Linked DNA regions of Caenorhabditis elegans. The protein of the gene in region 1 purifies or fractionates together with the protein of each later gene. This does not show direct contact. Each region holds a gene or a part of one and is shown in the gene's direction. Other genes may lie near its edges.

Region 1 (7,669 bases):
AATCTAGGATATATGGTTGATAAGTGAGTTTTAGATTTCATATCCAAATTTGGAACATGATGCTGAACAGCTTCCGCGAATAATTATTTCCAATTTCCTTAATTTAGAAGATTTATTCACAGCTCAAAACCAAAAAGGAACTGTTTTTTTATTTAGAAAAAAGATTACGGAGACATCGTTACTCTTCAAAAATCCCTATCATTTTGACACTAGCATTAGTATGATAAGAATTGATTGATGGACTCATACTTTTTTCGAATTGACATGCGCCCATCATGTGACCTATTAAGTAAAGAATGTTCGTTTTTTGATTCGTATTAGGGAGTGGTGCTGGTGTCCTCGGTACAAAAGTAGGAAATTGGTAGGCTGCACATATCTGAACAAATATCGATGGAAATTAGACAATTTTTTATATTTGGGAATTTATTATGGAAGCGAAAATGTAGGTGAAACACCATAAATATTTGAAAGAAATGAGAAATTAAAAAAAAAAGAATTGAATAAAAATCAAGGCGCTAGTTTTTTTGGTGCAAAAAAGGAGGATAGATAACTGTTCGAATGTTTATTCTTTCAGTGGTAAAATGATCTACTGAATTGGCCACTAGAATAAAGTTCTCCAATTTGATAATAAAGATTAATTTCAGTCACGGTTTCGTACCAAATGGAGGTCGTGTCTATTATCTAACACGTTCCCAACCACCTCTATTGACACCGATGGTCTACGAATATTACATGAGCACAGGAGATTTGGATTTTGTAATGGAAATTCTTCCAACCCTTGACAAAGAATACGAGTTTTGGATTAAAAATCGACAGGAATGGTTCAAAGACAAAGATGGTGTCAAGCAGTTTCCATATTATCAATATAAGGCTAAACTCAAAGTACCGAGACCAGAATCATATCGTGAGGATTCGGAATTAGCAGAGCATCTGCAAACTGAAGCGGAGAAAATTCAAATGTGGAGTGAGATAGCGTCGGCTGCCGAGACGGGATGGGATTTCTCCACTCGATGGTTTTCTCAAAATGGAGATACAATGCATCGAATGGATTCTATAAGGTATCGAGGGTGTTGGTTTTTTGGTTAAAAAAAAATCTTTTTTTGTTAATTTTCTATACTTTTTTTTCCGATTTTTTGGTTTTCTGGATTAATCGAAAAAGAAAACAGAGAATTTCTGTGACATGCTGTCTTTACAAATTCAAAAATTACAGTTCCGAGGTTTTAATTCTAAATCAAATTCAGAACGTGGAGCATTATCCCAGCCGATTTAAACGCTTTCATGTGTGCAAATGCTCGAATTCTGGCGAGTCTTTATGAAATTGCTGGTGATTTCAAAAAAGTGAAAGTATTTGAACAACGATACACTTGGGCAAAACGGGAAATGCGTGAATTACATTGGAATGAAACAGATGGTATTTGGTATGATTATGATATCGAATTGAAAACTCATTCAAATCAATATTATGTATCAAATGCTGTTCCTTTGTATGCAAAATGTTATGATGATGATGATGATATTCCACATCGTGTTCATGATTATTTAGAGGTTAGTGTCACTCTAAAAAAAACGTATATATTGGGAATTTTCAGCGCCAAGGACTATTGAAATACACAAAAGGTCTTCCAACATCTCTTGCAATGAGTAGTACGCAGCAATGGGATAAGGAAAACGCATGGCCTCCAATGATTCATATGGTTATCGAAGGATTCCGTACAACTGGTGACATAAAACTGATGAAAGTTGCTGAAAAGATGGCAACGTCATGGCTTACTGGAACATATCAGTCATTTATCAGAACTCATGCTATGTTTGAAAAGTATAATGTTACTCCACATACTGAAGAAACTTCTGGAGGAGGTGGAGGAGAATATGAAGTTCAAGTGAGTATTTAAAGATGTAATTCCGAAATTCCACAAATGGAAAAAAAAATAATCAGAAAAATTGAAAAGTTTTTTTTCAAAAAGCGATTTCTCAATTTTGACTGAATTTTTGTTTGTTTTTTTCAAAAGTTAGATGATTCTTCTTTTTTTCTTTTCGTATTCCTAAATTTTGAACTATTCTGGATATTTTCAAGCAAAATCCCACTGAGAAAATAATGTAAATTAACAGAAAAAATTGGAAAAAAAAATCATTTCCAGACTGGCTTTGGTTGGACAAATGGCGTTATTTTGGATTTATTGGACAAATACGGAGATCAATTTGCATCCAGCTCTACAGCTTCCAAATTCAGTTTTTCCCTTTCGAATATCACATTTGTAGTTTTTATTTTGTATATTTTCTCATAGATTCCTGTAGAATTTGCACCTGATTTTATTATTTTCTGTTGTGTATAGTCCAGTTCCCTCATTTAGATCTTTTTTAACTAAAGAATCAAAAACATTGCCATAGCGATTGCCTTAATTTTTTTGTTTTAAATATCAAACTCACATTTTGCTTTTTCTCATCCGGTCCAACCCCCCATTTTCAGATTATAACGATTGTTTTCTTTCGGGTTCTTTTTTTCCTTATTTTCAAAAAACCTTTTTTAGTTCATAAAATTTTTACTTATACCAGTTCCTTATACCAGTATATATTGGTTTTTATGTCACGCAATTCTAATGTAATATATTTGATTTATCATCAAATTTCCCAATTATAGAAATTAATTCAAGATATGGGAATCACTGGATTATGGAAAATTGTAGAACCAACGGCAACAGAGATTCCTTTGGAATGTTTAGAAGGAAAAAAATTGGCAATTGGTAAGCTAAAAAACAAATTCAAAACTATGTAAAATTGTTTTATTTCGTATATTTAAGTTTTCATGTATTGGGGTACTGTACTTTTCACTTTTATTCTGACATTACATGTTTTGTAATTTTTATCATTTTTTCAGATGTTTCAATTTGGATCTATCAGGCTCAACTCGCATATCCATCGGATCAACCGTTTCCACATCTGCGTCTCCTTGTAAATCGTCTCTCTAAACTTTTATTCTACAAAATTCGTCCTGTTTTCGTGTTTGATGGACCACAAGTACCACCTCTCAAACGTCAAGTCTTAGAAGCGAGACGGCAAAAAAGACAGAATGATGATGATATTCTTAAGAATTCGAAGAAAATGGGAAAATTAAAGGTGCTGAAAAAATCTCAAAAAATTAGGGTAAAATTAATTTATTTAGAACTTCATGAATTTTTCAGACAGCGAAAAAATAACAAAATTTTTCCATCAAAAACATGACGAAAAACAACGAAAAAGCTCTGTTCATGAAGCAAGAATACGGCGCACGGTCTCGAAACAACCGAAAATTTTCTTTGAAAAATACTCCGAAAATGGTTATGCGCCTTTAAGTAGTACTGTAGCTCCCGTTTCCTATTTTTTGCAATTAAATTTTTGGTTGTTAAAAGACAAACTAGATTTTTTTTGTTTTTTAAAAGAGCAAAAAAATGAGCACACTCTTCACGATCTTCATTAAAATATATCGATTCGTTTCAAGACCCGGCTCTATATTCTCGCATCAATTTTTTTGAAGTTTTTAACTGTTTAAAAAGTTTTAAATTATTTCCAAATTCTTTTGTTAAACCAATCAATTTTCAGGAAATTGCCAGTGGTGGTCTTGATGACGTGGCACTTGCGAATGCAATCAAAGAAGTTATAAGTCCATCGAAAAAAGTAATTCTGAACGACATTTATAAGGATATTCCCTCAACAAGCACATATTTGGATAAACCTTCTGCACATCAAAATGATCAGCTTGTTTATGGAAATATTGAAGATTCAGATTCAGATGATAGTGATATTATTATTGTACCTACTGTAAAAGAAGAACGAATTTCGAAACAATTTACTTCTCGGAAACTGGAAATTCAAAGTCTCGTGGAAAAAAGAGAGATCATGAGAAATAGCAGATTACGGCCTGATATGGTTGGATTTTATCTTTTAAAAAAGTGTTTTTACAATAAGCTAAAACGATTTTCAGATTCCACAAGATTCGAAAAGTTTCAGCAATTTTCAAATGCAGCGTCTACTCAGAAGAGGTCGTCTGAATGCAGAAATTGAACAAGTAACTTTATTGAATTACATAATTTGCTACTTATAAAAATGTATAAACTGAAGTCATAATCCGTTCAATTTTCTTTGATTTTTCCACATTTTTAAGAAGTTTTTTTATTTATGAAGAAAAAAACTCTGAAACACATTAAAACTTTAGAAAAAAACATTTTTTAAAAGTGGGTTACTGTAGTTCTTGAAGCGGATATTTACGGTTTCCGAAAAGTTTTTAGTGAAAAATCGCTTTAAATCCACATTCTATAATTTCAGTTAGCCAAGTCTACAACAACCTCCACAGGTGGATACTCTTCTGATAAAATCAACGTAACTGGACCAGATGGAACTTCTCACATTTTAAAATATGCACATAGTGATGAGATTCAAGAAGTTCGCCCAGAATTAAAACGAGATATCGATAGTCTTTATCAAGAACCTTTATCAATGACACTTGACTTTTTCAATGTAGAATATGGTGGAAAGAAATTAAGCAGAGAAGTGACACCTGATGATGTACGAGAAGAGATTGTTGACAGATTAGAGGAACGTTTAATTGACAAGAAAGAAAGAGGATATCAGAGTAAATCGGGAATGTTGGAAGCAATTGCGAGAAAAAGAATTCGACAACATTATGGTACTGAAACTGTAGAAGATAAGAAAGAGGAAGAAAAAAGAAAAAAGGAACAGAGAATAGAAGATGATATGATTGGTAAAACATTTAAAATATAAACAAAACTTGTTTTATTATTTTTTTAGAAGTCAGCGACGATGAGATGGTTCTTCAAGAAGTTCTACTTGAAACAGCTGCAAAATCATTGGATAAGAGAATGGCTAGCTTGGAGAAACACAAGGTTCCAAGTGAAGATGAGGAGATTGAATGGGATCCTCAACGATACGATAAGCCATCAACATCTTCTGCTCCTGCTCTCATGGAAGATTATATTCATTTGAACTATAGTGATGAGGATGATAAGACGCCTGAATTATATCGTGATCTTCAAGAATTTCTTACAAATGCAGGCATTCCGTGGATCGAATCGCCTGGTGAAGCGGAAGCTCAATGTGTTGAGCTGGAGAGACTTGGATTAGTTGATGGTGTCGTTAGTGATGATAGTGATGTGTGGGCGTTTGGAGCACAACATGTATATCGTCATATGTTTTCTAAGAATCGGAGAGTACAACGATATGGAGAGCAGACAACAGCGAATAGAGATAATTGCAAACTTTTTTGTAAGATTTATGGCAAACATTAGAATATTTCCTGAATTCTAAAAATCTAGGTCTCCAACGTGAGGACTACATTTCAATTGCTCTGCTCTCTGGGGGTGATTATTGTGCAGGACTTGTAAAAGTTGGAGCCATTGGTGCACTTGAACTGGTGTCCGAGTATGTTGAATGTAGGATTGATAATACAAATGATCTTAAAGTCATTGAGAACAGGGTAAGATAATTACACATGTGATGGAGTCCCTTATGAAAAGTTTCAGATCATGAGGCTCCTTAAAAACGTGGAAAGTTTGTTCTTAACTGCTCCGGATGATAAACGAGTTGCTAGTCGAAATGCAATGATGTTGAGAAGACATGTAACTGAAGCAAACGATATGGAGAATATCAAATGTGTACTTATTTTTAGATTTTTGAAAACAAAACAACATACTGAAACTCATGTTTCTCTTAAATTCCTAATAGTTCAATTCAATTTCAGGTGTGCTCTAATCAAGACGCTGTGCATGCCTACCTTCATCCCATCGTTGATTCATCATCAGAAAAACTTCGATGGCGCCAGATGAATATTCCATTGATCCGTCGAATTCTTCATCAACGCCTTCAATGGCCTGATCGCAAACAGCACAACGAAGAGCAGAATTCATTTGACGCTTTCGAAAAATGGAATAATTTTCTAAAATCCGGTGGACAAAGCCAAATGCGATTAGACCGATTTTTCGCACAGAAATTGGATAGTTCTCTCGAACTAAAATGGTCGAAAAAAATTGTCGAGGCGCTGGACAAAATTGGACAACGTGTAGCGGGAACTATGAAAAACAATGAAATGTCAAAAGAAAAGAAAGTTGATAAACAAATCAAGAAGAGCAAAACAGCTGTGAAACGTGTAACTCGTGCCAGAGGAATAGGTCGCGGGAAAGGAGGAGCACTTCTTGTACCAGCTAATAGTAAACTGAATCTATCTGAGGAAAGCAGTTCTAATGATTCTTTTGATGAATTTTAGTTTTTAGCTAATTTATCTATTGAAAATAAATAAAAATGTTGCATTTTACACCAATTTCTTTTATTACGTTGAAGTTATTCTGTCAATTTGTGAATATTTTATTGATATTAATATTTAATACAAAATAATGAATTTAGCCTTCTCTTACAATTGAGCACAAAATGTGCAATGTTCTAATGTGTTCTATTTTATGTTCTATTTATAATATATTTATTGTATAATTAAATATAAATATTGTGCGCTGCAAGTGCGCCCCTTTGAACTAGTGTTCTGTTGGCATTTTCCATGCGTCGAATTTCTCTCCTTTTCACGTTTTCTCTCTATTAATAGAATAATTATAATTTTGTATTGCTTCTTATCCAATTCGAATAAATTTGTAAAAATATTTCAACTTTTCAGCCAAGATCATGCTCAAATTTGTCATAGTTTCATCAATTCTTGTGGCCCTAGGTCTGTCAATCGAATTGACATTCGAACTTCCAGACAACGCAAATCAGTGTTTTTATGAAGATCTGAAAAAGGATGTTGACACAGTGTTTGAATTCCAAGTTAGTATTTCAATTGAAAATCGTAGAAACTGTAATAATTTGATAATTTCAGGTTGTTACTGGAGGCCATTATGACGTAGACTTGATCATTGAGGATCCAAATGGAAAAGTTTTGTATAAAGATACTAAAAAGCAGTACGACAGTATCAACTTCAAGGCCGAAGTTGAAGGAACATACAAAGCATGCTTTTCAAATGAATTCTCCACATTCTCTCATAAAATCGTTTACATGGATTGGCAATTCGGTGATCAAAATGCTCTTCATGCTGCCGTTACTCAAGGAGCTCATGCAATGACTCAATTAGAAAATTATGCAGTCGCTATTGGAGATAAATTGAGAACAGTAAGATTTTTATTTAAAAAGATTTATTTTTACAATTAGAAAATGCTCAAAACGTAACTTTTTCGAATTTTATGAATTCGTTCATTTTTCCAACTCTATTTTGCTGGGAGCTTACTAAAAAAGTTGTTCACCCGACATTTGACATACTTATAAACTTTTTTGTAGATTGATGACTATCAAACTCATCATCGTCTCCGTGAAGCAACTGGTCGCAAACGTGCAGAAGAACTCAACGAGCGCGTGATGATCTGGTCCCTTGGTCAATCTGCCGTCGTAGTATTCATTGGAATTGGCCAAGTTTTCCTGCTCAAATCATTTTTCAATGATAAAAGAACTCGTTATTAATTTTTTCACACCATTGCTCTTTTTTTTGTAATTAGCAGCCTTCTCATTTTAATGGGTCCCGTCAGTTGTTTTGCCCCTTTTCCTCCCTTTGATACATAGCATAAGAATATAATTTATTGATTTATAACTGAGTTTCATAACATAAAAACCCGAAGCAATTTTATGCAATTGAGAATTATT
Region 2 (8,431 bases), on another chromosome or scaffold:
TCCGCTTTTTATATGCTGATTTTGGTATCATTTTAATTGATATGTGTACGAAAATAATGAGAGATGAGACGTTTAAAAAATAGACAAATTGATTAACAAAAAAAAAAGCAACCGACAATTCACAGGTTTAAAACTGAATATGGTTTCTCCCCTTCATTACTTTTCCCTTGATATATTAATATTTATTAAAATTTCAAAGCTCTATTTTTTCCTTTTTTCTCCGCGATTTTAAGTATCAATGCACACTCACTTGCTCCTATGCCCACGTTTTGTTTGTTGTTCTCCTCTCTGTTATCTCTATAGTGTTGATGACCATTTGTAGCAGGCTACTTTGTAGACTTATTATCAAGTAGTTGATATTATGTGACTTTGCCCTTTTTGCTTGCCCACTTTGGATTTTTAGCTGCTGCTTTATTTTTTCGTTTCAATCAAACAACACGTTTTTAGAATCTAGTTGTTTACATATTGTTTTAGCCCAGTATCTTATCTTGCTGATATCTTCAATTGTTGCACTTTTAATTACTTCTCCAAACGACTTCAAATAGAAGGAAAAGATGAAACGTTCTCTTAGAATGAAACCTTGCAAGGCGAAAAATTGCATTCATTTTGTCTCTCCGCTCTTCTTTTTTTTGTCCGTCACAAAACGAATGGAACCCGGCGTCCCCCAATTTTTGGGCTTTTCGGTGCTCCAAGATGTATGTATGTCAGGCTTCCGTTTTTTTCCATAAATTTCCATGTGAATGCTTTAATCGGGAAATATGAAAAGGTTTGCGTTGAGATGTAGATTTTTTTCTGGTGTAAAAATATAGAAAAATTGTTAATTGTTCTTAGTGGAAAGCTTCGACAAACTTTTGAAATTAAATTAATTATTAATCCTTGTTCAATAAACTCGGCATTTGGCTCGAGATTCATGTCCAAGTTTGGCCCAAAAAACATTAACTTTGATCCGAAGTTTGATAAACTTGGGCAAAAGATGACCAAGACTTTGGCAATACTGGGATTCGGGCCATCAAAGTTTAACCCAAGTTTCTCCCAACTCTTGCTAAACTTTGGCCCAAACTTTTTGTGTTTCGTTTCAATCTTCTGTAGAAGTTTGGCAAGAGCTGGGTGAAATTTGGGTTAAATTTTGATGTCACCTAAATCCAAGTTTTGCCAAAAAGTCTTGCCCAACTTTTGCCCAAGTTTAGTTTTTTATATAAGTTATAGCCGAATTCCTAAAAAAAACTATTAGAAAAGTGTTTAAAAAAAGAAAAAAAGTTGCAATTGATAGATTTCCAAATTTTCGGGGATCCAAGTTGCTTTCAAAAAGTATTCAATTTAAAAAAAAAATACTCCAAAGACAAAATGTTGCTAAAATTTTTTATTTGGAATAAAAACAATGATGGGGAAACATTCGAATAACATTATATTTCCGCTAATTATGAATTTGAGAAGCAAATTGCAAATATTTATGCTTAGGCGATTTTTTTAAAATTTGTTTCATCAGAAATTGAAAAAAAAAGTTTTAATAATGAAACTCCATTAGTTTTCTGAAATAATATTAAAACGTTTGGTTCAACTTGTAATTTCCATAAGTTGTGTCTTAAAAAATGTCAAACAGAAAAATTAACACTTTCACTACACAATCCAATTACTGGCTGCCATCCAAATCCAATGACCTCTTCTCATTAACTCACACCATTTGGCTACACATCGTTGTTTTCTTCCTCCATTTCTCGGCCTCTTTGTGGATACCACGCGGGGTTTTTGTGTGGTAGGAGAGAACTTAACTTGCCTCCATTTCCTCCCCCCCCCCCCCCCACTCTTTGGACACAACACAACTACTCGGTTTCTTCTGTTTTCGCTGCCTGTGTTTTCTGCGTTCCGCCTGGTCTTTCTGTTTGTGCCCCCTACATCACCACACACACACACACACACACACACTCCTCTCTTCCCATATGACCCCTGCCATTCACCCGCCGTCACTCGTTTTCTAAACACTTTGATCTTACGCCCCAAACATTTGGAACACTTTTACACTCTGAAAATCAACAAATTATTTTTTTTGTTTTGTTACTTTTTAAAAATGTTTTTTAAGTTTTAAATTTTCCAAAGAAAAATAAAGATATAGTATAGATATTTTTGAAAACTACTCACATAGTGCTAAAAATGACCGAATAAAAAAAATAAAACTTTTCAAAAAAAATTTTGAAATTTTTTTATTTACTGTCAAAAAGTGACAATTACTCAGTTTTGCCACTCATAATTTTAAAAGTCGACCAAAAAAAATGTTTTCTTATATTTTTTTTACTTTAATTTTGTTTTAATTGATCGTATTAAAACATTGTAAGGGTTGGAACATATGACATTGCTCATATTTTTTAAAGTTTTGGCAATTTGAAATTATGAAAAATTTTAAATTTTTAAATTTTTTTGAGTGTTCTATTATGATATTCGGTTGTTTTTGACAAGTGTATGTAGATCAAATCCCCACAGGCGCTATTCTTTAACTAAAATTTAGTTCCAAAATATTAAAAAAAAATTATTTAAATTTAAACATGTGAGAAAATGCAAAAAGTTGTTATAAAATTGCCAGATGCCAAAAAAAAAACGAATTTTTTTGTGAGACTTCATTTATTTTTTGAAAATTTTTCAAAACAATTTTCAATTAACATACAACAAATTTTTTTGGTTAACAGATCACTCTTCTATTATTTACGCTAAATTAAAAAAAAATTGCATTGAACCAACATGGTGCATTCCCTTTTACATTCTCTTTCTTTCATACAAGCTTACATTATATTCATCAATTTGAGTAACAAAACCCGTCGAAAAAATGCTGAAATGTCAAACAATGATTCGACCACAGATCTCCGTGAGTTTCTCCCCAAAAATATTAAATGCTGACCAAAATGACCATATAAAATTTGGACTACGGCGTAGTGTAGTCTGAATGATCATTGATAACATTCCCCCACCCGGGTCTTCCCCCACAAAACGTCTTTCACTTATCACTATAGTAACTTTTCGCAGCGTTTTGTGAGGGATTACCTGTTCCCTCAAAATTTTGAGCATTCAAAATTCATTTTGCAGCAACTAATGAAGCACAGTGTCAACGCAATGGCCGGAGGTCACGGTGCAGCCCGTTATAATTCAACAGGTGAGACTAAACCTTTTTTTCGATTGTAAATACATTGATGACGTTTCAGACCTACCAAAACTCCCGGCTCCACAACCAATTAAAACGCTGAAACACTTCCTGGACTTTGCACAAGCGTTGCAGTCAAAAAAGGAATTTCAAGAGACAAAACAGGTAAAAATAAAAAAAAACATTTGGAGCAAAACAAATGTCAATTTCAGATTGTAAATGATTTTGTGGTTAAGGATTTGCCGAAATTGCAAGAACTGCTGCAGAAACGAGCCGACGCACTTCCGAATTGGGTAAGATTTTTAACACTTTTTTCTAAAAAAAATAATTAGAAAAATAAATTCAAAACAACTTCCCCATTTATGATTAGGAGTAGTTAATTTTCAGTTTGGACCAAAAAAATAGAAATGTATCAATTAACTTTATAGGTTTAGCTTTACTGCAAACCAATGACACCTTTAAGTGTACCCTAAACCTAATTTTAAAAAGTTTGATACTAGAAAACTTTACAATATTTTGAAAATATTTAACGGCATAAGTAATACCTATCAGGTATTAGGCATAATGTTGGGCGTTTATATTAAATAATTTTTTCTTTGCAAAACAAACAATTTCTTGGAAATTGGTCCACAAAATAATCCGCCAGCCTATAAATTGAAAACATCAAAATGAAATCAAAATGTTGCTGAAAAAGTGACAGGGCCAGCGCCATAAAAATAGATTTCCAAATTTAACACATGGTTTTATAATATATCTAAAAACTAACTATCTTAAAATTGAGCAAGTTGGCGTTTTTTTACCGATTCAAACAAAAGATTTTCAGCTCACACCATGGTGGCTCAACATCGCCTACCTAGCTGCTCGTACCCCACTTCCAGTCGTCACATCTCCAGGAGTCATGTTCCCTAAATTTGACTATAACACCGAGGAGGGACAACTGGAATATGCAGCAAAAATCAGCCAAGCCGCTGTCCACTTTTACCTTCGAGCAAAAAAGTAGGCTTCTGGTTCAATTCGATGTTTTTTAGTTTTCAAAAAACATTTTTTCAGTAATCAGTTGAAGCCTGATATGGCAGGAAAGTCGCCGCTTGATATGAGCCAGTACCAGTTCTTGTTTGGAACAACTAGGGTACCTAAGGTTGGCGTAGATGAGATTAGATATGGATGTGACTATAAGGAGAAATTGCAACACATTTTAGTGATTAGAAATGGACATGTGAGTTTTTAAAAAATGTTATTTAAAAATTGTATCACTGATTCTTTATAAAGACTAATGAGGTTATTCAATTAATGTTGCAAAATGTATTTAAATACATTTATTACGTCACAACTGTATTAAAATACAAGTTTTCAAAAAATGTATTTTAATATAGTTTGCACCTAATTTTTCTACACTTTTTAATTTTTCGACACTTCTTGAATAACCCCATAAGACTTCAGTTGTTCCATCTAATTGAAGTTGAAAAAAATATTGCAAACAGATTTCAACAAAACCGTTAAAATCTCCCTACATTTTCAGCTCTTCCGCGTCCAAGTCCTAGACTCCAACGAGCAGCCACTCTCAATTTTTGCTATTACTCAGCAACTGGCAAAAGTCGTTTCAGAGAGTCAAACTCCAAACCCACATCCAGTGGGAATTGTCTCCTCCGATAGTCGCGACAAATGGGCAAATGTATACTCATCGCTGAAAAGTGAGCTTTCGAGAAAAAAAGTTTCAAGCCAAATGTAGAAGTTTTGCTTAGCTCCATTGTGAAGATTTTCTTTGAAGCTAGCTATGCTGATAATAATACTATTTTCAGAGGATAACAACAACGCGAAATCCCTGGAAGCCGTCGAAAAATCGTTGTTCGTAGTCTGTCTTGACAAAGCTAGTGAACCACCAGTTGGCTACACGGAGAAAGATGAGCAAAGTAGGCAGGCACTGCATGGTGGCGGCTCCAAAGTGAACTCGAGCAACAGATGGTTTGACAAGACTATTCAGGTGTGTTATTTAGTTTATCCACGGCGTGTCAGGCTGTCCCATTACGGTTTGATCTACAAAAAATGCGGGAATTTTTTGCCCATAAAAATTATACGTCAACACGTTCTTAACCAGACGAAATCAGTTGAGAACTCTGCGTCTCTTCTCCCGCATTTTTTGTAGATCTTTGTAGATCAAGCCGACATGAGACACTCTTACACCACGTGTTTATCGTTCATGCACTCATTTTTTTGCATTTGATCAGTAGAGCACATTTGCATTGCAATAGCAAAAAATATACCTGGAAATTTCAGTTTGTCATCGGAACAAATGGCTACACCGGAATGACGTATGAGCACACTCCAGCCGAAGGACCACCAGTCGGTGCACTCATGGATTTTATTTGTGATCAATTGTGAGTTTTTGAAATTTATAACTGATTACAAAAAAATTTGTTGAAAAACTTGAATTTGAACAGAAATTTAAAATGTTGTCTTTTTCGTTTTATCGTTGGGTCAAAAACCGGAACTGTGGCACTTTAGGTGGAGTAGCGCCAGTGGGGAACTTGTGAAAAACTACTCCTACACATGGTGCCAAAATGACCGAATATCATAATAAATCCTTTCAAAAGTTTTTTAAAATTTTTTTATTTACTGTCAAACAGTGACAGTTACTCAGTTTTTCCACATATAATTTTGGAAGTCGACCAAAAAAAAAATTTTTCCTACATTTTTTTATACTGTAGTTCTGTTTAAATAATTTGTCTTAAAACATTGCATGTGTCGTTTTTCAAAATATTGGCAGTTTGCCAAAACTTCGGCCGGAAATTATGAAAAATCGAAAAATGTTTGGAGTGTTTTATTATGATATTCTGTCGTGTTGGATCATAATAAGTGTATTCAGACCAAATTCCCACTGGCGCTACTCCACCTTTAACCATAGCAATATAAATATTTCTGATCCTACGCTTCATCAAACAAGTTTATTTAAAATGTTGCAAAAAGTATTCTGGTAGCTTGGATATCTTCAGTTAGTAACATTTAAGATAATATATCTATTATATTTCCTTCAATTTTTCAGTGATGCTAACACATTCATTACTGAAGGCACACCTTCCAACTCCCCAGTGCAACGTCTCGATATTTCCACTGACGAGGAAATCAACAAAAGAATCGCCAAGAGCTCCAAGAACATGGACAGCATCGCCGAGGACCTTGATATCGTCGCGTTCACGTTCAAGCCCTACGGAAAGAATTTCCCGAAATCCTCAAAGATCTCGCCCGACTCGTTCATCCAAATGGCTTACCAATTAGCTTTCTACCGGATCCACTCATCGCGTAAGTCAATTATCCCCCATCTTACAATTTGATGACGAATTAAATTTCCAGTTCCACCAACCTACGAGACGGCCACTTTGCGTAAATTCACCGAGGGTCGAACCGAGAACATCCGATCTCCGAATACAGCTGCAGCATCATTTGTCAAGAAGGTGTGTGTTTGTGTGTGACCTAGATCGATCACCCAATTTAACTCACTCAATTTTCAGATGGTATCTAAGCCTCCTACGCCGGTTAGTGAAATCTACGATGCACTTGTTCACGCAACAAATTCGCATAAAAAGTACACCATGGATTGTATGGATGCAGCTGGAATGGACAGACATTTATTGGCATGGAAGTTGATCGCTACTGAAAATAATCTCCCAACCCCAGAAATCTTCGGTTCCAACATCTACCAACAACTCAACCATTTCCAAGTCTCCACAAGTCAAGTTCCCACACGGCATTTCATCCAAATGTGCTTCGGACCATCTGCCCTTGATTGCTATGGAATTTGCTACAACCCACAGGAAACTGAACTTCACTTTATGATCTCAACATTCAAGAGCTACGGCTCGACGAGTTCCAAGAAGTTTGCCAAGGAACTTCAAAAGGCGCTAATTGACATGAAATCGGTTATTAATAAGGCTACAAAAGAAATGTCCAAGTTGTAGGAGATCATATTTTGATACTACTTTTTTTTAAAGAATAACATTTCACACGCCATAACTAGTGCTCCTACGTGTTCAGATCCCAATGTTTTTTTTTCTGCTTTATTGTAATTGATTGAAAATGCTTGTAGATATTTTATGAAAACATTTTATATGAATAAATAATTTGTATAATAAATACGTTTCCGTCAGAGGTGTATCACAAATATCCACGATAAATCTACAAAACATCTAATATTGGGGTGATAGCCAAGAAATAGAGAAAAAATGTGATTGATTTCAGAATTGTTTTGCTAAAATCGATAGTTTAAAATATGCTATTCCTGCCATAAAAATTGTGTGCATTTATCTAGCAGACCGATCAAAAGATTTTTGGTACAAATAAGCATATTTTACAATGAACCAACTTCTATCAAGTAACTAATATTTATTTTTTCTGTAAAAACTAGTGACAAAACTTTTGTACAGTTTAAAAAATAATTCTCAAATAAAATCAACAAAATACAAAAAAAAAAAACGAATACCCCGTGTGACAAATAATTAGAGATTTCATGAAGTTGGTGGGTGACAATTCCAATGTCTCGGGAACAAAAGGTCCACAACGGCATTGGAGTACGGGGCACAGTGTCCACGTCTCGCGTACCATTCTTGGCCGTAGAAAGCAATGAACATTCCGGTTCCTGAAAGATGGTTGTATTTTAGTGGTTTTAACATGTTCTAAAGCAATGTTCTTTTAGATTGAACACTTGATTTTTTAGAAAATTCGAAAATGTGGGTGGTATTATGTAAATGGTTGGAAAACTCAGACAACTAGATATAACATTTTTCATAGGAACTTCTTGCGGGAGCTACTTTCTTAAAGATGGTGTAGTCGAATTTTTTCCATTTCTTTATTAGACTTAAAATTGTTTGAAAACACCGAATTTCATAATGAAACTTCTTGAAAACTTCTCAAAAAGTACTTATGACGGCTCAAAAAATTGCCTAAAATTAGTTAAAATTTGAAATGTGACCTACTTGCCAATGTCGTTGGAAGCAATTTTTTTAAAATCACCGTCAAATTTTGAGTATACAATTTGATTACCTTACGTTTTCAACTCGATTAAGATATATTAAAGTCGATGGACGACGAGATTGTTAATTTTTTAAACCAAGACAAGTCGGCCAAATTTAAAATTTTAACTAATTTTAGGCAATTTTTTGAGCTGTCATAACTTTTTTAAAAGAAGTTTTCGAGAAGTTTTATTATGAAATTCAGTGTTTTCAGACAATGTTAAATGTAATAAAGCAATAACAATTTCTACTACACCGTATTTAATTCTAATCTTAAGTTTGAAATGGTTGAAGTTAATAA
Region 3 (7,142 bases), on another chromosome or scaffold:
TAGAATACCTCTACCACTTTTTGAATTCGCGCGCACCTTTTAAGTGGTTAATTTCTCTCTAATGCCACCTCCACCATTAATATCGCTTGATGTTGAAGGTGTATATTTTAAGACAAGGATAGCTACTTTGAAATCTATAGAAGGAACTTATTTTACTAAATTATTCGAAACTAATTGGAGGGAGCAGCTTGATAGAGTAAGTCTAAAAAAAAAGTTGTAACTTACAAAGTTTAAAGCATTTGGTAAATTGCCAAACTTCTTAGAATTTTAGAGCATTGCTGCAGGTCCCTAACCTCCTAGAATGTCCAAACACAAATGATTATTGCCATGTTGTTGAATTTTGTGATTACTGGCGCAAAAATACGGTGCCGGGTCTCGACACGAAACTTTGCAGCTACCGTACTCACAGGAACTTCGCAATTTGCTACGATTATTCATGATTTTTAATACAAAATCTTCAAATTTTGTTCCGGAAAACGCCTACTATCAAACAAAAAAAATCGTGGAAAATTGTGAAACACTTTCGGTTACTGTAGCTGTAAAGTTTCGATAGTTTTGAGACCAGGTACGGTATCCAAGCCTCAAAAATCGCAAAAATTCAAGAATGGGTAATAAGCATATACTGTCAATAAAAATATCATAATGCTAAATTTTGCGCTAACAGTACGGTACTTTGTCTCGGAGCGGCAATTTTTTTTAATTGAAAAGGGTGTGCGTCTTCAAAAAGTACTGTAATTTTATTACATTACTCTTTAAAGGCGCACATTCGTTTCGTATTGTCGAGACCTTTACGCTTGTCGAGACCAGGTACCGTATTTTTAGAATTAAAAACCGCATAAACTGCTCTGAACACATCAGTTATAAAATATATTAACACTCCATTAAATAGAATAAAACCTCATTTGGTCAACTAACCTTCCCCAAGATTCCCAATGCCTTGTGTTAAATACTCTGCGTATATGTCTACGTCATCAAACATCTGCAGGCCCATTGAATCATTCAAATAATTTTCCACCACCACCCGTTGCCATACTTTTCACCCGACACCACAACCACTAACACCATTCCCTTGACCTCCTCCTGGTGTGACGTAGCGCACTGTTCAAAAGCAATGACCAACTGGTTGTTGGGTGCCTGTGACGTCAATTTGTGACGTAGGCAAGAATGGGGGTTACGGTAGATTGGGAAAATTTGAATGCTTATTTCAGGATGGTAGACTCTTCATCGACCGTGATTCTTCAGTATTTCCGGTTATTCTCAACTTTCTAAGAGATCATGAGAAATGTTCATTGCCAAAAGACGAATATCAGCTTATGCGAATCTTACGTGAAGCGGTGTAAGTTCGGAACAAATCAGAATATTGCAAAAAGTATAAATCATTATAGATTTTTCAAAATTGGACCACTTCGAAACATGATAGAACATAAGCTGCGAACATTTTGTACTTGCCCACCTGAACTTCCATCAACTCCAATACCGAACCAAATCTTGACCCAAAAAGAAAATGTTCCGATTGTCCCACGTAATCTTCTTCTTTCGAAACCACCTCCACCTCCACCACCACCACTTCCGTCATTGATGCAGCCGAAGGATACTGTACAAATTCCGATGAGAAAACCTCCAACTGGCAGAAATTCCAAAAAAATTAAAACGTCTGCAGATTCGATTAGTCTTCCAAGGAACTTTACGTGAGATTTGGATATCTTTTATCTATTAATTACTTACAAAAGTTTATTTTCAGACATATTGCACATGTTGGTTGGAATGGTGCATCGGTACTTTTTGATAAGAAAATGACTGATGATCCGACTGTGAGGAAAATCTGTGATGCTGCTGCAGAGGCAGTTGATCTTAGTGTGAGTAACTTTCTTGAAAATTAGTAGAATATCTATAGAATTATAAAATTAAAATTCATTTATCTATTTTCAGGCGGTATACAATGTTGTCAACAAAAATGCGGATGAGGAGAGCCATAGCGTGGAAGTGCTCATAACTGGAGGATTAATGCAGTCAAGAGATGGAACATCTCGTCACTAACCATTTGAATATATCTGTGTCAAAATAAATTATTTATGTCATGTCTTGCATGCCAACAGATACGCGTTTTTCGAATTTTCGAAAATTCGCAATCACAGCTGGTGGTTTTTTATTGTCTGAATTGACCGACAGCAAATTTTAGTGATCTCTGACAAAACATCAGAAAATAAAAAACTACGCTTTTTTGTCCGCAGTTTGAAAATTTAAGGAAAAACTGAATATAAATATTATTTCATCGAAACATGTTTTTTTCTTTAAAAAATTACCGTACTCTTTCAAAGGCGCACGCATAAAGTTTTTAAATACAATATTTCGTGTCGAGACCATTACAGTAACCCGCGGCAAAATTGTGTTTTACAGCTTTTATTTTCGGGGTTTCTTCTGATCTTATGCATTTTTATGTGGTTTTATTTTGAATTTTACGTTTTTTTTTAAATTTCAGAGCAATGAAATGCGATTATCGGACTTGTCCTAAAGGGCGGAGCCATGGTTAGAGGCGGTGCTTGTGGTGCCGAAGGGTATAAATAGATTTTTTCCTCACACAGAAAACTAAACACATTTTTTGTTTAAATGAAATTCTTCAGCTGTGAATTAATATTTCATTTCAAACTGCCGTAGTTAGAAATGCTCAGGACCGTGGATTTTCGGTTTGAATTTCTAGGCCAATTTTGTGTGTTTCGACATTAGCTCACTTCTATCAGAAAACCATATTGAAGCCAGAATTCGTAGGAAAATATAATGTATTCTGTTTCACTGTAATACTTGTTTTTTCTATGAGACCAAGATTTCAATAATTCGTTTTCCTTTTGAATTTGAATTCCGATGGAGCGCGTTTGTTTGGTCTGCGTCTCGTTTTCGCGCGTTCCTCTATTACCTAGGCGCGAAAACTAGTAAATTTGAGATGAACTGGTCATTTGAAAATTCTCTCCGCTCCTCCATTTTCACTCTTTTCTTCTCAAATTGTTAATAATTCATCTTTTCCAGTTATGCAACGTTACAACAGCACTTATGTTGTCAAGCGGGATGGGCGAAAGGAAGATGTACACTTCGACAAGATCACTTCCAGAATTCAGAAGCTGAGCTATGGATTGAACATGGATTTTGTCGATCCGGTTTGTTATTAAACACAAGTTCAATGATGAATTAAATTTTCCAGGTCGCTGTTGCAATCAAAGTTATCAGTGGCTTGTACAAAGGAGTGACAACTGTTGAGTTGGATAATCTTGCTGCAGAGACTGCTGCTTCCATGACCACACAACATCCGGAATATGCTCTTCTTGCCGCTCGAATCGCCGTTTCGAACTTGCACAAGAAAACGAATAAGGTGTTCTCGGAAGTTATGAAAACCCTTCACGAGTTCCATCATCCTCATACCGGAAAACACGCACCAATGATCAGTGATGAGACTTGGGCTATCATTGAGAAGAATGCTGATGTTAGTTTTCCTAGGAATTGCATTTATTCAAAAAAATTTCATTTCAGAAGCTGAATTCCGCCATCGTCTACGATCGTGACTATTCCTACACCTATTTCGGATTCAAAACACTGGAGCGTTCCTACCTTCTCAAGATAAACAAGGAGATTGTCGAGCGCCCACAGCAGATGTTGATGCGTGTTTCTATTGGAATCCATGGAGATGATATTACTTCCGCAATCGAGACCTATAATCTGATGTCGGAGCGTTACATGACCCATGCGTCCCCAACTCTCTTCAATTCGGGAACATGCCGTCCTCAGATGTCTTCATGCTTCCTTCTGACAATGAGTGAAGACTCCATTCTCGGAATCTACGATACATTGAAGCAGTGTGCTCTTATTTCAAAAAGTGCCGGAGGAATCGGACTCAATGTTCACAAAATTCGCGCCACTGGATCTGTGATCGCTGGAACTAATGGAACATCTAACGGACTCATACCAATGCTTCGTGTCTACAATAATACTGCTCGTTATGTTGATCAAGGAGGAAACAAACGCCCAGGAGCATTTGCTATTTACCTGGAGCCATGGCACGCCGATATCTTCGAGTTTGTATCTCTCCGCAAGAACACTGGACCGGAAGAGGAACGTGCCAGAGACCTGTTCCTTGCTCTTTGGATTCCAGATCTCTTTATGAAGCGAGTCGAGAAGGATCAAGAATGGTCGTTGATGTGCCCATGTGAATGTCCAGGACTTGATGATTGCTGGGGAGAGGAGTTCGAAGCTCTTTACGCCAAGTAAGTATCTCCTGGTTCTTATTTTTTTAATTACCGAAGTGCGATATCCAGACAGAACTTTAAGAGTACTGCTTGGACTGAGTTTACTAACTTCGAATATGAAATAGTTGATCGATAACCGGAATATACTCAAAAAAAAAGGTGTGCTCCGGACAAAAATCAACTAACAAAAACTTTTAAACAGTGAAGTTAAATTTGCAAAGTTCATATCAAAATTTCCAGATACGAAGCCGAGGGACGAGTCCGCAAAACGGTGAAGGCCCGCAAGCTCTGGGAGCACATCGTTTCCAACCAAATCGAGACCGGGCTTCCATACATCACCTACAAAGATGCCGCCAATCGCAAGTCTAACCAGCAAAATCTTGGAACTATCAAGTGTTCCAACTTGTGCACTGAAATCATAGAGTACTCTGCTCCAGATGAGATTGCAGTTTGCAACCTTGCTTCCATTGCTCTCAATCGCTACGTGACCCCCGAGAAAAAGTTCGACTTCGTCAAACTGGCTGAGGTGACTAAAGTTATAACCAGAAATTTGAATAAGATTATTGACGTCAACTACTATCCAGTCGAGGAGGCTCGCAACTCTAATATGCGCCATCGCCCAATCGGGCTTGGTGTCCAAGGACTCGCTGATTGCTTCATGTTGATGCGTTACCCATTCACTTCGGCAGAAGCCAGAGATCTCAACAAACGAATCTTCGAAACCATCTACTACGCTGCATTGGAAGCCAGTTGTGAATTGGCTGAGTTGAATGGACCATACTCGACATACGAAGGATCTCCAGTATCGAAAGGACAGCTTCAATTTGATATGTGGGGAGTCACTCCAACCGATCAATGCGATTGGGCCACTCTTCGCAAGAAAATTGCAAAGTAAGATTAAAATACTCTTTCGAATCTGATTAAACTACTTATTTACAGGCATGGTATCCGCAACAGTCTTCTGATGGCTCCAATGCCAACTGCTTCCACTGCTCAAATTCTCGGAAACAATGAATCCATCGAGCCATACACTTCGAACATCTACTCTCGCCGTGTTCTTTCTGGAGATTTCCAGATTGTGAATCCTCACATGCTCAAGGATTTGGTGGAAAGAGGATTGTGGACTGATGAGATGAAGAATCGTCTGATTGCCAACAATGGATCCATTCAAAACATTGATGGAATTCCATCCGACATCAAGGAACTTTATCGCACAGTGTGGGAGATCTCTCAAAAAGACATTATTGAGATGGCTGCTGATCGTGGAGCATACATTGATCAATCCCAATCTCTTAACATTCACATGGCCAAGCCAAGCTACGCCGGTATCACATCAATGCATTTCTACGGATGGAAGAAGGGACTCAAGACTGGAATGTACTATTTGCGTACCAAGCCAGCTGTCAATGCAGTTCAATTCACTGTGGATAAGAATGCGCTGAAAACTAACCAACAAGCTGAGACGCCAGCCACCGTGGCCGAGTCGCAAGATGAAGGATGCCTCATGTGCTCCGGATAATCATTTTTTCTTTCACCCGTTGATCATGTTTGTACATTCCCAAATTGCTCACTTTTTCACTTTAATCTGTTATACTGATAACCCTATTTTGCTCGCGGTTACTCATTTTTTCTAAAGTTTTAATGGTCAATAAACTGACAATCTGAGTCCTCGAGCGATTTGAATTGCAGGAGCTGAAAAATGTGGAACCGTGTTAGGTTTACATCCGAAACTTCGGAAGTTTTCCTCTTCTCATGCTCTAGTAGTTTTTTTCCTAAATACTCTCTCAGCAACATCATGGTGCAACAAAAGTGGGTCTCGACTGAAGGTGTACGTGGGTAATGTTTAGTGAACCGTCAATCGAGCAGATTTCAAATGCGCCCTTTCGATTCTCTTTTCGTGTGCTCAATGAGCCGGAATAGAAACATTGAACTATGCGTAGAGCTCCTCTCGTCAGATGGGCCCCCGGTTCTTAGCGAGATTAGCTTGATTCTTGGTTTTTTTGCTCATTGCTCTTTTTTTCAAATAAACTACTACTCGTTTCCTCCCTGTCTCGTCATTGGAAGCTGTTCATCGTCTCTTTTGTCTTTTTTTGGGTTCTTTTTCCGTTTTTGCTCATTTCGACTTCAAAACGATTGATGACTTTGTTTCGGTTTGGCTTTTTTGGCTCAGAAGAGCACTCAGAGAAGCTATGAGACACACGAAATGATGAAGATGATGATGCTTCTGTCGGAACTTTTGTGATTCTTTTTTTTTTGGAACTTTTGAGACGGATTTCTTCCTTTTCTCGTTTTTTTTGTTCGAAAAAAGAAATGTTTGGTTTCCTAGACTGCATGCGATGAAATATGATTTGTGTGACAAAAAAGCAGAAGGTTAAGATGATTGGATTAAGGATTGAAAAGCAACACTATAGAATCAAAATATATGAAGTTCTTTGGTTTTTCGTTTTTTGAGAGAAAAAACTATTATTTACATTCATGAAATGTTTCTTGATCCTCGAGGAGCAGTTATTATAGGTTTTTTGTTGGATTTCATTTTAAATAAAACTAGATTTGGAAACTTATTTTCAGAAAACTGAAAACAAATGTAAGAGTCAGTTCTGAATACTTTCCTAATATTGTAATTTCGTAAAAAGTTAAACGTCTCAATAAAGGCGCAAACTGCTTTTCTCAGTGGGTCTCGCCACGATCGCCGTCGAAATGGTCGTTACAAGGACCAAATTTAACAGAATTGTCTATAATTGTTTATTTGATTTGGAAATAGAAATTTGTAAAACTTCAAATCCTAAACTGTGAAAACATTTGCAATAAACTATTTCTTACCTAGTTATACGTTTTAGCAAAAGCTTGACAAATAGTTTGCCGCCATAGTACTGTAGTTCTCCTATTTTTGTAGGTTTTAAAGGATTTTAA
Region 4 (6,988 bases), on another chromosome or scaffold:
CTATAAAATCAAAATTGACTAAAAAAAAATTCAAATTGGCTTAAAAATTTCAAATTATCCTTTAAAAAACTAAATTGGCCAATAAAATCCAGTTGGCCTATAAAATCAAATTTCGCTTAAAAATTCCAAATTGGCCTAAAAAATTAAAATTGGCCCAAAAATCTAAATTGGCCTTAAAAATTCCAAATTGGCCTTAAAAAATCCAAATTGGCTTTAAAATTTCAAATTGGCCTTAAAAAACAAAATTGGCCTATAACATCGAAATTGGCCTAAAAATATCTAAATTGGCTTTAAAAATTTCAAAATTGGTCTAAAAACCTCAGTGGCCTGAAAAATTCCAAATTGGCCTAAATAAAAAAATTGGCTTTAAAAATTTCAAAATTGGTCTAAAAACCTCAGTGGCCTGAAAAATTCCAAATTGGCCTAAATAAAAAAATTGGCCTAAAAAAATCAAAATTGGCTTAAAAATCGCAAGTTGGCCAGAAAAATCAAAATTGGCTTTAAAATTTCAAATTGGCCTTAAAAAACAAAATTGGCCTAAAAAAATTAAATTGACCTATAAAATCAAAATTGGCTTTAAAATCAATATTAGCCTTAAAGAAATCAAAATAGACCTGAAAAATTCCAAATTGGCCTGAATAAAAAAATTGGCCTAAAAAAATCAAAATTGGCCTATAAAGGTTTATAAATTTTTTTTCGAAAAACCATTTTTTTCAGAACAATTCCTCGATATCACCCCGAAGACCAAGTCGAATCGATACCGACAACAATGAAGTACACTGTAAACGAGAAATCCGTTCGAGTATCCGTCGCGGCGACACGCCGACGGCAACTTCGAGAAGATCATACTTATATATCGGCTGCCGCCGCATCCACTTCAAATGAGCCTTATGTAGAAGAAGAGGAAGAGATTATAGAGGAAGCTCCAATTGGAGACGAAGATGATGAAGAAGAAGAAGTTTATGAATGAAAAATGTCACATTGCACCATTTGATTTTTTAAAAAATATTTTTTCTGAAATCATTATTATTTTCAGATTATTCACATGATTTTCCATACTTTGTTATTAGACTCGAAACTGTCTGAAAACAACGAATTTCATAGTGAAACTTTTTGAAAACTTCTCAAAAAAAAAGTTATGACGGTTCAAAAAATGACCCTAAATTAGTTAAAATTTGAAATTTGACCGTCTTGGAAACTAACTTTTTTGAAAAATCACCGTCTAATTTTGGCTATACAAGTTAATTATCTTGCGTTTTCAACTCGATTTAGGTACATTTAAATGGTTATCAATTCGCAAAATTTTTAGTAGAAGTTTTGGTAAATTTCGAAAATTTCCAAGTCAAAGAATCAAGTGAATAGCCAAATTTTGTGGTAATTTGCCACATTTTTTGGAATATCGCCAGTTTTTTTTTGTTGAAAAATTGCCACAAAAATTGAAAATATGCCAATTTTTTGATAAAATGCCCAATTTTTCAGTCAATGTTTTTTTTTTGAAAAATTGGCAAAAACAATTGAAAATATACCAATTTTTAGAAAATTGCATAACTTTTCAGTCAATGTTTTTTTTTTGCTCAATTGCCAATTTTTTTGAAAAACTTTCAAGTATTTGGTAAATTGCCAAATTTAAAGTTAAATTTCCAAAATGTTTCCCAAAATTAGACGGTGATTTCAAAAAAGTTAGTTTCCAGCCGCTCAAATTTCAAATTTCAACTAAGTCATTTTTGAGCCGCCATAACTTTTTTTTTTGAGAATTTTCCAAGAAGTTTCATTCTGAAATTCGGTGTTTTCAGGCAATTTCGACTAAACCAATGAAGAAAAATATTGGAAAAAACATGGTGCAATCGACCTACTTGAGCCGACATGCAAAAGTAATCACATTCTATTTTTTTTTTTCGAATTGTTCACATTTTTCCCTGAAAACCCCCACCCCTCTCGTACATGTAATATCATTTCACCGTAATCACCTCATACAAATGTCATTTTTTAATGATAATTCTCTGCTTTTTTTACCGCAATTGTGAATAAATTTCAATTTTTATGAAAAATAATTTTTATATGTTTTGCAAGTTTTTGTTTCAGGTCTTTACACCAGATTTATTTGATTTTTTAAAAAGATTTTTGGAAAAAAATTTTTTTTTTGAAATTTTTTAGGAGAAAAAATTGTGATTTTTTTCGAATCAAATTTTGAAGAAATTATTATACAATCATTAGAAATTTTAAAAAAAAATAATTTTTTTATTGGAATTTTTTTTTGAATTTTTTTCGAAATGTTTTTTTTTTTAATATTTTTTGTTGTTCAAAAGTTAATTTTTTTCCTAAAATTTAAACCACTTCCAAACCTAAAAATAACCATATTAACAAATCCAACAAAATTAAAAATATTTTAAATTTTCTCAAAAAATTTTGAAATTTTTTTGATTATTTTTCAAAAAAAAATTTTTTTAAATTTTTTTGGAAGAGCATTTTTACAAATAGGGGAAATACACAAAATATCATTTGCAAATGAGCACAAAACGTTTTAAAAAATTAATTAATACTTTCAGAAAAAAAAAAGTTTTTTTCTGAAAGTGTTTTGTAATGTCGAAATACTTAATAAAACATTTTTGGAAAAAATCTCAAATTTTCAATAAAAAATTTTTTTTTTGAAATGTTGAAAAAAAAAAATTTTTTTAACTTTTTGTGAACGCTCTCAACGCTCTCTCTCATTTTTTAAAACTGAAAAAAAAACATAATTTTAAGCTCAAATTCCCAATGAAAAGAGCCTTATTTGTGGCCGAGAAGAATGACGTGGCAAAGGGAGTCGCTGCGATTTTATCAAATGGAACAGCGAATCGACGAGAGGGGCGGAGCAAGTTTAACAAGATTTACACGTTGAATACCGAGCTTTTTGGACAGGTACCAGCAGTCATTTGGCTCTGAAATACCCAAAATAGTCTAAAATCCGCAAAAAATCACTATTTAATCAATTTTCGGTAAATAAGAACTGCGACCAATCAGCGATTTGCTCCGCCCACTTTTCAACCAATCAGGTGAAGTGGGCGGGGTTAGGAGGTGTTTGAAATACCCAAAATAATAGTCTTAATTCACCAAACGCCGCCCACTCCATCTGGTTGGTTGGAAAGTGGGCGGAGCGAATCGCGCTGATTGGTCGCAGGTTCAAAAAGTTGGATTTTTAAATTTTTCGCTATTTTTTTTCGGTTTTTTTGTGATTTATACGGAATTCGAGACTAGTTTGAGTATTTCTAAGCAAAAAATCACTATTTTTATCAATTTTCGGAAAATAAAAACCGCGACCAATCAGCGATTCGCTCCGCCCACTTTTCAACCAATCAGGGGTAGTGGGCGGGGTTAGGAGGTGTTTGAAATATCCAAAAATAGTCTTATATAAAGAAAAATCCACCAAACCCCGCCCACTCCATCTGATTGGTTGGAAAGTGGGCGGAGCGAATCGCGCTGATTGGTCGCAGGTTCAAAAAGTTGGATTTTTAAATTTTTCGCTATTTTTTTTCGGTTTTTTTGTGATTTATACGGAATTCGAGACTAGTTTGAGTATTTCTAAGCAAAAAATCACTATTTTTATCAATTTTCGGAAAATAAAAACCGCGACCAATCAGCGATTCGCTCCGCCCACTTTTCAACCAATCAGGGGTAGTGGGCGGGGTTAGGAGGTGTTTGAAATATCCAAAAATAGTCTTATATAAAGAAAAATCCACCAAACCCCGCCCACTCCATCTGATTGGTTGGAAAGTGGGCGGAGCGAATCGCGCTGATTGGTCGCAGGTTCAAAAAGTTGGATTTTTCAATTTTTCGCTATTTTTTTCGGTTTTTTTGTGATTTATACGGAATTTAAGACTATTTTGAGTATTTCTAAGCAAAAAAATCACTATTTTTATCAATTTTCGGAAAATAAAAACCGCGACCAATCAGCGATTCGCTCCGCCCACTTTTCAACCAATCAGGGGTAGTGGGCGGGGTTAGGAGGTGTTTGAAATATCCAAAAATAGTCTTATATAAAGAAAAATCCACCAAACCCCGCCCACTCCATCTGATTGGTTGGAAAGTGGGCGGAGCGAATCGCGCTGATTGGTCGCAGGTTCAAAAAGTTGGATTTTTCAATTTTTCGCTATTTTTTTTCGGTTTTTTTGTGATTTATACGGAATTCGAGACTAGTTTGAGTATTTCTAAGCAAGAAAAATCCTATTTTTGCAGCAAACCGCAATTTCGGTGACAAGTGTTTCGGGACATATGATGAATTTCCAATTTCACGAGAATATGTCGAATTGGCAAACGGCGTCGATGGTCGAGTTGTTTCGAGCTCCGGTTCGGCATGTTGTCACACCAGAGATGAAGCTCATCGAGCAGACATTAAGGTTAAATTTTACGGGGGGGGGGGGGAAGGCAGGCATAAAGTAGGCAGTCTTTTGTTGGCGCGTAGGCGCGTAGGTAGCCATAAGGTGAGCTTGTAGGCAGGTAGGTAGGCATGAGAAATGTATCTATTACTTGTAGGTTGGCGAAAAGGCGCGTAGGTAGGCAGGAGGTAGGCGTGTAGGCAGGTAAGCGTGGAGTAGGCGAGTAGGCGCGTAGGTAGGCAAGCATACGGTGGGCGTATAGGCGAACGTATACTAAGATTAAGGTATTGATGTAGGTGGGCATGATGTAGGCGTCTAGGCAGGCAAGCGTGGAGTAGGCGTGTAGGCGCGTAGGTAGGCATGAAGTAGGCGTGTAGGCAAGCGTGGAGTAGGCGCGTAGGCAGTCATAGATTAGGCGTGTAGGTGCGTAGGTAGGCATGAAGTAGGCGTGTAGGCGAAAATTTATACATGTAGATAGGCGTCTAGGCAGGCAGGCATAGAGTAGGCGTGTAGGTGCGTAGGTAGGCATGGTGTAGGCGCGTAGGTAGGCATGATGTAGGCGTCTAGGCAGGCAAGCATATAGTAGGCGTGCAGGCAAACTTATAGGAAGCTTAAGGTATACCTGAAGGTATACATGTAGGTAGGCATCTAGGCAGGCAAACATTGAGTAGGCGCGCAGGCGCGTAGGTAGGCATGAGGAAGGCGCGTAGGCAGGCAAGCATACGGTGGGCTTAAAGGCGAACGTATAGGAAGCTTAAGGTATTTTTGTAGGTAGACATGAAGTAGGTGGCTAGGTAGGCAAGCATTGAGTAGGCGCGTAGGTAGGTATGAGATAAGTGCGTAGGCAGGCAAGCATAGAGTAGGCGTGTAGACGCGGAGGTAGGCAAGCATACCGTGGGCGTTCTGGCAAACGAATAGTAAGCTTAAGGTATCGATGTAGATGGGCATGATGTAGGCGTGTAGGCAGGCAAGCATATAGGTTCTTTATAGAAATTTTTGGAACTTTTCAGAGAACAAGCCCAACGACACGATATCCTGGTAGTCTGGACAGATTGCGATCGAGAAGGTGAAGCAATTGGCGCTGAAATTGTTAAAGTTTGCAGAGATAGCAACCGGCGGCTGGATATTTTCAGAGCGAGGTAACACAAAACTCTGAGAATGCGTACTACACAACATATTTGACGCGCAAAATATAAAATTCCCAAATTTTATTATAGATTCTCCGAAATCACAAAAGCAGCCATCACACGAGCAGCTCGGAATCTCATCCGACTCGACGAGAAGACCGTTGCCGCAGTTGATTGTCGAAGTGAATTGGATCTTCGAATTGGATCCGCTTTTACAAGACTACAGACGTTGCATTTAAGGAATCGATTCAGAGATTTACTGGGGCAAAATGGTAGAGAAATTGGGAAATTTGCAAAAAAAAATAATTTTTGAAAAAAAAGTTTGGAAAAATACCAAAATTTGGGCAATTTACTGAAAGTTTGGAGGTTTTCCAAAAAAAAAAAATATTGCAGAAAAAATTGAAAATATACATTAAAATTTGACAGTTTCCAAAATTTTGGCGATTCCAAAAACTTGCCCAATTTACCAATTTTCTGGGGTAAAATTTGCCAATTTGCCGGAAATTTGCCAATTTTCTATAAAATTTTTTTTTTTTTTAATTAAAATATACCAGAAAAAAATGTGATTTATTAAAAATTTGGGAATTTATCAAACAAAGTTCCCAATTTTATGAAAATTGGATTTTTGGCGGAAAATTTAAATTTTTTTATTAATTTACCAGAATATTTGGCAATTTACCAAAATTTCGGCGGAAAATTTTAGCAAAGTACACAAAAAAAAATTTGGTATTTTTCTAGAATAATTTGAAAATTTCCCGTTTTTCTACTAAAAATTTTTTTCACGGATTTCTGGCTTCCCATGACTTGAAATGGAAGAGTTTTTGCCGAACTAGGCCAGGCCATATCTGGGGTAGATTTACGGCGCGCGTTGCGTGTCGCGTCGCGGCTCGATTGTAAAACTAAATGTATTTGTCCGTGTGGAGTCCGGCAGGCGATTGTCAATGGAGCGCGGAAAATGCAATAAGGAAGACCAGAACCCCGTGAAAATCACGGAAAGGCGTGTACTTCACACGGACAAATGCATTTAGTTTTACAATCGAGCCGCGACGCGACACGCAACGCGCGCCGTAAATCTACCCCAGATATGGCCTGGCCTAGTTCGGCAAAAACTCTTCCATTTCAGGGGAAATTTCCGTAGGGAAATTTTAGCAAATTACAAAAAAAAATTGGCAACTTACCACAAAATTTGGTATTTTTCTAGAAAAATTTGGAAATTTACCAATTTTTTTACTAAAATTTTTGGCAATTTATCAAAAATTTTAAATTTTTTTCCCTTGAAAAGTTTGGAAATTTGCCAAAACTTTTTCTGAAAATTTTGCAAATTTCCCAAATTTAAATAATTTTTTCAGACACATCCCAAGTGATCAGCTATGGCTCCTGTCAATTCCCAACACTCGGCTTTGTCACAGATCGTTATAAAATGATTGAGAACTTTGTGTCCGAACCATTCTGGAAGCTGATCGTGGAGCACACCCGGGAGAGCCATAAAGTCGAATTTCTATGGGATCG

What was found.
Region 2: the proteins of xpg-1 (region 1) and B0395.3 fractionate together in Caenorhabditis elegans (co-fractionation; one large-scale study listed by BioGRID). This does not show direct contact.
Region 3: the proteins of xpg-1 (region 1) and rnr-1 fractionate together in Caenorhabditis elegans (co-fractionation; one large-scale study listed by BioGRID). This does not show direct contact.
Region 4: the proteins of xpg-1 (region 1) and top-3A fractionate together in Caenorhabditis elegans (co-fractionation; one large-scale study listed by BioGRID). This does not show direct contact.

The regions. Positions count from the first base shown.
Region 1 is NC_003279.8:6,556,047-6,563,715, forward strand, and holds xpg-1 (XPG (Xeroderma Pigmentosum group G) DNA repair gene homolog), read left to right. Parts: upstream 1-2,647; 5' UTR 2,648-2,653; coding exon 2,654-2,741; intron 2,742-2,875; coding exon 2,876-3,114; intron 3,115-3,576; coding exon 3,577-3,903; intron 3,904-3,958; coding exon 3,959-4,042; intron 4,043-4,299; coding exon 4,300-4,735; intron 4,736-4,782; coding exon 4,783-5,256; intron 5,257-5,306; coding exon 5,307-5,467; intron 5,468-5,513; coding exon 5,514-5,645; intron 5,646-5,731; coding exon 5,732-6,253; 3' UTR 6,254-6,300; downstream 6,301-7,669. Other genes in the region: tre-1 (Trehalase), read left to right, coding at 1-23, 645-1,058, 1,242-1,545, 1,590-1,880, 2,139-2,285; tmed-3 (GOLD domain-containing protein), read left to right, coding at 6,661-6,801, 6,854-7,144, 7,310-7,489; bag-1 (BAG family molecular chaperone regulator 1), read right to left, coding at 7,665-7,669.
Region 2 is NC_003284.9:16,033,873-16,042,303, reverse strand, and holds B0395.3 (Choline/carnitine acyltransferase domain-containing protein), read left to right. Parts: upstream 1-3,072; 5' UTR 3,073-3,078; coding exon 3,079-3,139; intron 3,140-3,188; coding exon 3,189-3,292; intron 3,293-3,339; coding exon 3,340-3,420; intron 3,421-3,950; coding exon 3,951-4,123; intron 4,124-4,177; coding exon 4,178-4,343; intron 4,344-4,646; coding exon 4,647-4,818; intron 4,819-4,926; coding exon 4,927-5,108; intron 5,109-5,401; coding exon 5,402-5,502; intron 5,503-6,167; coding exon 6,168-6,424; intron 6,425-6,475; coding exon 6,476-6,576; intron 6,577-6,633; coding exon 6,634-7,080; 3' UTR 7,081-7,268; downstream 7,269-8,431. Other genes in the region: mboa-1 (O-acyltransferase), read right to left, coding at 7,627-7,757.
Region 3 is NC_003281.10:9,224,130-9,231,271, reverse strand, and holds rnr-1 (Ribonucleoside-diphosphate reductase large subunit), read left to right. Parts: upstream 1-3,021; 5' UTR 3,022-3,023; coding exon 3,024-3,149; intron 3,150-3,193; coding exon 3,194-3,472; intron 3,473-3,519; coding exon 3,520-4,250; intron 4,251-4,297; exon of another isoform or gene 4,298-4,422; intron 4,423-4,472; coding exon 4,473-5,123; intron 5,124-5,171; coding exon 5,172-5,751; 3' UTR 5,752-5,897; downstream 5,898-7,142. Other genes in the region: T23G5.3 (uncharacterized protein), read left to right, coding at 62-196, 1,209-1,336, 1,386-1,688, 1,742-1,856, 1,930-2,037. UniProt on the Caenorhabditis elegans protein: Provides the precursors necessary for DNA synthesis. Catalyzes the biosynthesis of deoxyribonucleotides from the corresponding ribonucleotides.
Region 4 is NC_003281.10:11,955,935-11,962,922, reverse strand, and holds the start of top-3A (DNA topoisomerase 3), read left to right. Parts: upstream 1-2,742; 5' UTR 2,743-2,754; coding exon 2,755-2,898; intron 2,899-4,212; coding exon 4,213-4,373; intron 4,374-5,362; coding exon 5,363-5,491; intron 5,492-5,569; coding exon 5,570-5,751; intron 5,752-6,828; coding exon 6,829-6,988. Other genes in the region: Y56A3A.28 (C2H2-type domain-containing protein), read left to right, coding at 718-970. UniProt on the Caenorhabditis elegans protein: Component of the BTR double Holliday Junction dissolution complex, which is involved in homologous recombination during meiotic double strand break in the germline.